Arabidopsis thaliana: one gene and its partner. The protein of the gene in region 1 interacts with the protein of each later gene in a biochemical or structural test. Each region holds a gene or a part of one and is shown in the gene's direction. Other genes may lie near its edges.

Evidence for each region.
Region 2: the proteins of LAF1 (region 1) and FHY1 form a complex in vitro, tested with the Arabidopsis thaliana proteins (one study listed by BioGRID).

Annotation. Positions count from the first base shown.
Region 1 is NC_003075.7:13,050,245-13,054,260, forward strand, and holds LAF1 (myb domain protein 18), read left to right. Parts: upstream 1-2,258; 5' UTR 2,259-2,310; coding exon 2,311-2,437; intron 2,438-2,483; exon of another isoform or gene 2,484-2,524; coding exon 2,525-2,654; intron 2,655-2,734; coding exon 2,735-3,329; 3' UTR 3,330-3,498; downstream 3,499-4,016. Other genes in the region: AT4G25550 (Cleavage/polyadenylation specificity factor, 25kDa subunit), read left to right, coding at 194-280, 364-474, 558-629; ACYB-2 (Cytochrome b561/ferric reductase transmembrane protein family), read right to left, coding at 3,643-3,969. UniProt on the Arabidopsis thaliana protein: Transcription factor that promotes photomorphogenesis in the light by participating in the transmission of phytochrome A (phyA) signals to downstream responses. Probably acts by activating expression of light-induced genes.
Region 2 is NC_003071.7:15,800,742-15,804,760, reverse strand, and holds FHY1 (far-red elongated hypocotyl 1), read left to right. Parts: upstream 1-1,967; 5' UTR 1,968-2,064; coding exon 2,065-2,117; intron 2,118-2,438; coding exon 2,439-2,914; coding exon of another isoform or gene 2,915-2,940; exon of another isoform or gene 2,941-2,992; coding exon 2,993-3,072; 3' UTR 3,073-3,343; downstream 3,344-4,019. Other genes in the region: AT2G37680 (glucose-induced degradation-like protein), read left to right, coding at 300-443, 536-609, 695-749, 822-884, 981-1,108, 1,183-1,261. UniProt on the Arabidopsis thaliana protein: Key regulator of far red / red (FR/R) spectrum-specific responses essential for the adaption to changing light conditions (e.g. de-etiolation), essentially by regulating PHYA shuttling from the cytoplasm to the nucleus and by directly regulating the expression of some target genes, depending on light conditions and phosphorylation status.

The DNA of each region.
Region 1 (4,016 bases):
GGTTATTACACTTAAGCATGCCAGGAATGAGGGTTCATAAAAGAAAACAAGGATAGGCCTGGTAGCTTTGCTAGAGAATCATATACGTACTAGATGAAGAAAGAAGACTTTGCCATGAGTCCACAGTTGTCTGATTGAGTTATGTATATAGCTCTGTCCCTGATCCGTTGGGTACTTTATGTCCCTTTAACAGGTAGGAGAATGTGTTGCGACATGGTGGCGTCCAAACTTTGAAACCATGATGTACCCGTATTGCCCTCCTCACATCACGAAACCAAAGGTAGTAAAAAAACACAATGTAAAGCTTCTCAGAATTTCCCTTTACTCTTCTCCTTATATCTCCTCTTTTTTGTGGAATGGCAGGAATGCAAGAGACTCTACATTGTTCACTTGTCTGAGAAAGAGTACTTTGCTGTGCCCAAAAATTTGAAGCTCTTGGCCGTCCCTTTGTTCGAACTCTATGACAATGTTCAGGTTTTGCTTATATCCAGAATACCAACCTTTGGAAAATGGTTTTTACCTCAAACATCTAACCGTATATTATTTTCTTGAAACAGAGATATGGACCGGTTATATCAACCATTCCGCAGCAGCTATCCAGATTCCATTTCAACATGATTAGTTCGTGATTTCGACTCGGTGTGTTCAAGAACAAGGAACCTATCAGATGGGTAAGTTACTTAGGTACGGTAGAGAGCTGTAGCTACCGGATTAGAGATGGGGTTTTCCAATGATGCGAGTTGGGTTTTTTGCATTATAGACTTGTTGGCTTTTATGTAGAACCGGTTCAAAGTGTCAGCACAAAAAACAAAGATTATTGTATCTCATTTTTAAAAGCATTTGTCATTGTTTGACTAACGCCTGTCTTCTCTAACCGTAAAACATGTGTTTCATTCAATGTTGAATGATGTTTTTATTTTGGTGCATAAAACTAAGCCATGTTTAACCTTCTTTGTCAACATATTTCATAAAGTTTTATCAACATACCACAAGGCCTAATGGTCGAAGGAGGAGAAGTTTTGTTGTAGACGAACAATCTAAAGTATCCTAGTTATCATAACATTAGATGTATAAAATTTATTCTCCGAGGGCTAAGGATTAAGTCATCATAACATTAGATGTATAAAATTTATTAGTCGTGTTTCATTGGGGATTAGTTTGACGGCAAATTATATTATGTTATCAAGACGACCAAGACAAGGTAGACACTTTTTTATTGTTTCCCTCTCAATTTTCTTTACTCGTCATTTTCCACAGGCCAAAAGAGCCAACAAGTAAAAAACAAAATCAGAGTATTTTTAAAATTGGGACAGGCCATTTCGATCGGGACAGAAGGAATTCAAATTGTTGAAATTCACAATATTCCTCAAATAACTCTTATTATTGGTCCACTTGTCAGTGTGAATGTAAGAAAAACATCGTGAGAGGAAAAAATATGAAATAATTACTAGCAGCAAATAGGAGCTCAATGTTGACTTCACTACAAAATTTTATAATTAAGAGAAAAAGAGCTCTCAAATCATATAATAATTATTTCAAGTACTTGTATTAGCAAATGCAATTTGTCTGCTTGCTAATGATGCTTTACGAAAAGATTAACAGATTGGATGATTCTCTATAATCATTACTTCATTATTCACAATCATTGGATTGAATCAGACAGATTATTCCACCCGGATGATCGTTTCTAACCAAAAAACTCATTGACGCGATTTAAACATAAATTAAAGAAGTCGTTAATATAAAATTCTTGCCGACATTTTAGAGATTTTTGGATATGAAGATGTTATCTGATTAGTGTGTAAATTCTTAAGGCATCGTCCATTATAAATGAAGTAAATATAAGGAAAACAAACAATAAGAAAACAAAGTGAAAGAACAAAAACAAGCAAAGATTCTTCTTTTTTTTTTTTTTTATAGGTAGGAATCTCAAATCTTATATATACTGAAAATTGCTAATTTATTTTAAGTTGGAACATTATATCAATAATTTAAATTTATCCAAGCAGACTTTTGACACCTAATTAATCCTTACATATTCCATTATGACTTTTCTCCTCACTGCTTATACAAATGCATACAGTATACTCATAAGAAATTAACACATAAATTATATCCCAAATTTTCATAAAAATAGAAATATATATGTCATTTGTCATTTACTCTAAGCAGGCCCATTTGGTCATTTCTTAACACCAAGTATGTAGGCTCTATCTGTGGACGTTTGGTGATATATATGTTGTCTCAATCACCATATATAGTATTGAGACATGTTTTCTTGTATCAGGACAGACAGCTGACTAAAGAGAAATGGCGAAGACGAAATATGGAGAGAGACATAGGAAAGGGTTATGGTCACCTGAAGAAGACGAGAAGCTAAGGAGCTTCATCCTCTCTTATGGCCATTCTTGCTGGACCACTGTTCCCATCAAAGCTGGTCTCTCTTTCATCTTCTTCTTTATTAGTTTTTAGTTTCTCAAACTGAGTCAACTTTGATAATTGTTGTTGGGATTTAATTTGATAGGGTTACAAAGGAATGGGAAGAGCTGCAGATTAAGATGGATTAATTACCTAAGACCAGGGTTAAAGAGGGATATGATTAGTGCAGAAGAAGAAGAGACTATCTTGACGTTTCATTCTTCCTTGGGTAACAAGTAAGTGTATCTCTAAGACCTAACCCTATTGTTTTAGCAGATGCTAGTTATAGAGAGACTAATGATTTAGGTGTAATTAGGTGGTCGCAAATAGCTAAATTCTTACCGGGAAGAACAGACAATGAGATAAAGAACTATTGGCACTCTCATTTGAAAAAGAAATGGCTCAAGTCTCAGAGCTTACAAGATGCAAAATCTATTTCCCCTCCTTCGTCTTCATCATCATCACTTGTTGCTTGTGGAAAAAGAAATCCGGAAACCTTGATCTCGAATCACGTGTTCTCCTTCCAGAGACTTCTAGAGAACAAATCTTCATCTCCCTCACAAGAAAGCAACGGAAATAACAGCCATCAATGTTCTTCTGCTCCTGAGATTCCAAGGCTTTTCTTCTCTGAATGGCTTTCTTCTTCATATCCCCACACCGATTATTCCTCTGAGTTTACCGACTCTAAGCACAGTCAAGCTCCAAATGTCGAAGAGACTCTCTCAGCTTATGAAGAAATGGGTGATGTTGATCAGTTCCATTACAACGAAATGATGATCAACAACAGCAACTGGACTCTTAACGACATTGTGTTTGGTTCCAAATGTAAGAAGCAGGAGCATCATATTTATAGAGAGGCTTCAGATTGTAATTCTTCTGCTGAATTCTTTTCTCCATCAACAACGACGTAAATTGCGTTTATTGTAATGTAAATCAAATTTCTAAGGCAAAACCGGAAAAAAAATGTTTTGTTTTTTGTTTTGTCTTAAATGCTTTGACACCAATAAGGCAAATAGCATATATGGTTAAAGGAATGGCAATATGAAAGAAAAGAAAAGAAAAGAAAATGATTTAAAAGATTCATCAATATCATTGAAGATTTTACACACCAGAAGTAGCAAAGCCGTAACACACAAAGCTTTTCGCTACAAATGCATCATACATAAATGGAGTTTTGAGAGTACAAGGGGCGATACAGATGTAACGTGGAATGTAGAAAGTGTTTTATATAGCAGAATAACTGAAGTCAACACTATCATCATTGGAGACGGAAGGAGAAGGAGAAGGAGACTCAGCAGAAGCAGTGAGTACCACAAAGGCACCAAAGAGAATAGTGATAATGGCCGTGAAGTTGATAAGAAATGCTTCGGATCCATACTTGTCAAGCCCTCCATTCTCCAAGAAAGTCAGCTTTTCCAGAAACCCTAAAGCTGCATTCCCGACAGCAAGTATGTAAACAAACAGGCCAAGCATTGCGTGCCACGGAAGCAATCCGCTTTTCAAATTTGTTGATCCTCCTGGGAAGAAGAACACTATGAAGCTGTACACCCACTGTAAAGTTCAAAACTCTTGTTCTGGTCAGGAACAATATACAACAA
Region 2 (4,019 bases), on another chromosome or scaffold:
TCATAGGCAGGCAACAAACATCATGGGTCTAGTTACTTTCTTCCCATTAGATCTGCAACTTGTTCAAGTGTTCTGGTTGCATAACGATTCTCTAGTAATGCTGATTTTTGTTATACCAATTAGAAGTTGGCCTTGTCTGCTTTGATTGGCTTCATATCTTTTTCATGTTGACATGTATGCTTAATTCAAGTGCATTTGTATCTAGTTGGGATTGTATAACATTCATTGGCTCAAAGAGATTGTTTATTCATAATGAACCTAAAGATGAGGAACACACATGTTTTTATGCTGTGCTGCAGGCATTTTCTGGTACGCAAAATGTCTCTAATCAACAGAAGGAGGAAGCTTGGAGAGTCAACGTCCAGATACAGGGTATTGACCTTGAACATGGTTATCTTTGTGGCACCATGGAAGCTCTAAACGTTCCCATGGCAGACACTCCTGTAAGCCCTTACACTCTTACTCATTTTTTCTTCATATTGCTTCCCCTTGAATTTCTAATAGGGGACACGATTCTTGATTCTGTGAGTGTCAGGTCATAACATTCTGGGAAGGGGAAATCGTTGATGGAAAGAATTATACCTTTTACACCGGAAAATGGGAAGCAACGTATGTCCCAATTCCTATATTCTTGTAGATTTGAAACTGATGATTTCTTATCGTGAATAAATTTTTGAAAGTTTGTTTGTCACAGGAGGGAAGATGATATGAGACATTGGTCAAAGTTCCCGTCTTTTTCGCCTCTTCAGGTAACACTCGAGTAACATTGTTTGTATAGTCAGTAACATCTCCTAAGCAACGTTCTGGACTTAATACTGCAGGGACAAGTTGAATCTGATGGTGGCAGGCAATTGGATCTTAACAATTATCCTTATATATTTATGGTATAACTCTCAGTTTTTCCTATCGAATCCAATCATCATTTTCTCTCAAGTATTCCATAATTCCTGCAACTCGGGTTTATTTTTGTGGTGGTGCAGAGATGGAAAGAGCAATACTTTGTAAACGTTGGCACAGATTGTGGACTAACAATAGCTGGATTTTACTACGTATGCTTCTCCTGCAGCGATGGTTCCATCAGCGGTTTCTATTATGATCCAAACAGCAGGTTAGTCCAAGATACAAACTATATAATCTGTTGTTGTTTGAGATAAAACCTGATGATATTTTGTTTCTGGACAGTCCGTTTCAGAAGCTGGAGCTGAAAACAGTTAACGAAGGAAGATCTGGTTTCAGCTTTTCTTCTTACGAGTTGCAATGATGAATGCTACCAAAATCATCAGACAGCGCCATATGATACTCTCGTCTAAACATGCGATGCACGTGATCCAGTACATTATGACGTGTCAATTATTATAAATTATTAGTAAGATATTTTTTTGCTTAGCTAGTAGACCAGACCAAGTAAAGAACTAAAAATACTATTTTGTCATTATGGTACCAAGCTAATAGTTTATCTGGAAAAAGAACAAATTGTCCAAAAAAATAATTACCAAATAGTTGAGAAGTTTTTCTAAAAATTTTTGTAAAAAAAATCCAAATTCTTCTAAAATTAAGTTTTTAATAGAAATTTAAAAAGACAGTTCTACATCATATTATTTTCTTTAAATAATGATATAAAATTTATAAACTATTATCTTTGTAAGATAATGAATATTTATACCTATGTAAGGGAAAAATTGATAAATATTTATACATCCTCATCCAAAAGCCCATAAAATCGTTATGGGACAATAGTAAAAAAGATTGCAAAATCGTATGGAGCGAAAGATAAAAATAAAAAACGGTCCCGTGTAAGAAGATGGGTCACCTCGCCAACACGTAGACTCTTTTCACGCGCCAAATCAAACACCATGTCGACGAGATCAACGGATTCAAATGTTTCGTGTAATACACGCTCCAACGTAGCGCGTCGTACACTTGATGCTTAATTTATGTATTTTAAGTTACGCAGTTTCCAGATTTTCAGACCCTCTGAAAGTGGAAAGAGCATTTTTTAAAAGAGTAATAAGAAAAACAATTATCTTTGAACTCTCTCTATCTCTCTCTCTCTCTCTGCGATCTATGCCTGAAGTGGAAGTGGATAACAACAACGAGAAGCCATCTGAGATTAACAGGTTTCAGTTTCTCAATCTATTCCTATATATTATCATTAGAGATCAAATTTCTTATTATGCTTCTTCTCAGTTTCTTTAAGATACAGAGGATTGACTGATTATGTATGTATTCATGTCAATGGTTGACCAAAAATCATAGCTGCAGAGGATGATTGAAGTTTTATCTTGATTTTAGCTTATTTAATCGTTGAGATTAAGAAAGTTTTCCTGTTATTCTTTCCTAAACCCTTATTAAGTTCAAGATTAATAAAGTCAATTTCATATATTTGGTGATTAAGATCCATCCACTATCTTAATATGTGTTGTTCTTTTTTTTTGCAGTTTCCATCACATGATCATAAGTAGTAGTAAAAATGTGTTGAAAATGGAAGAAGTTGAGGTGAGCAAGAAGAGGAAATTTCAGACAGATCAATCTGATGAGTTATCGTTATTACCTCTGTCAAAACACACTTGTTTTGCCAATGTTGCTTGTTCAGAGAATACAAATGGTAACTCGGAGATTGATACAGAGTATTCAATGTCTTCTTATGTGAACTCAACAACTTCTATGGAGTGTAACAATGATATAGAGATGAAAGAGGAATCATCTGGATCATGCGGTGAAGACAAGATGATCTCTTTCGAAAGCCATCTAGATTACATCTATGGGACTCAGAACTTAGAGGATTTTTCAGAGAAAGTCATTGAAAACATTCTCTATCTCGATGAACAAGAAGAAGAAGAGGAAGATGCTAAAGGATGTAGTAGTAATGCTGCTAAGTTTGTTCTGTCCTCTGGAAGATGGACTGTTAACCAAGGTAAAGAAAACCGGATTTTGGTTTGACCGTATTGATTCAATGAACCGGGGATTCACTAACTTGGTTTCATGTGTACAGATGATTCTACTCTACATGAGACAAAGAAGCCTACCATTGATCAAGAATTTGAACAATACTTCTCAACGCTAATGCTGTAACAAAATGATGTTGAGACTCAAAACATATATGAAGAGATGTATGTACATAGAACTGTACTCGTTCTGTTTTGATTCTTGTCAACCTTAAAAAAACGTTCAATTCAAAGTGATTAGAGAGCTTCTTTGAAATGTTTGCAACTCTAGTCTTCAACTTTTAAGATTTTTATTAGCTTGCAAAACTAATCTTGCTTATATATCTTGTTCTGCCTGGATCAGAAATAAAAGTTAGTATAAAAAAATTCTGAGATGATTATGACACTCTGATCCTTCATATGAACCAATCTTGTGTTCAAGAGTATCCCTGATGTATTTCAGTACCAACTTAACTGAGAAATGAGAGTCAATGTTCTTTAATAAGTTTGTTCAGATGATATCTTCTTCTTTTTTTGGTTGGTCACCTATATTCAATCTGCTCTCTCCAAATTATCTCCAATACACTCTCTTCTGAACATAATACAAAAATTCATAACTTTTTCTTATTATGGTCAAAAGTCTTGTTAATATTCAACTTGTTCCTTTCTAATGTAAAATCTAAACTGATTTAATAAAGAAAAAGATGATAGCTTATTGATATTCTTCCTAGTAAAACATTTTGGCATGATGGTCAAGACTCAAGATTTGCTAGAATGTGGTTCCCTCGCATTATCAGTCTTCTTGGTCAATGTCTAGTAGTTTTAAATTCGCTATAAAAATAGCAAAAAAAAACAAAAACAAAAAATTGTTGATTAAAAAGAAATTAACACCAAACTTTAAAAATAGTTATCCTTAGTAATTTTATGTAAGTATCTTTAACACGTAAAGTCGAACATAGTATATGATTTTGTTCACACTAATAGTCGAACAAAACGTAAATTAAGGTTTGAATTATAACGAAAGCAAAACATGCTTCCACGACCTTTGGTTTTGACTTAAGATCTTAATTAACATCATCAAACATTTTTATTAGT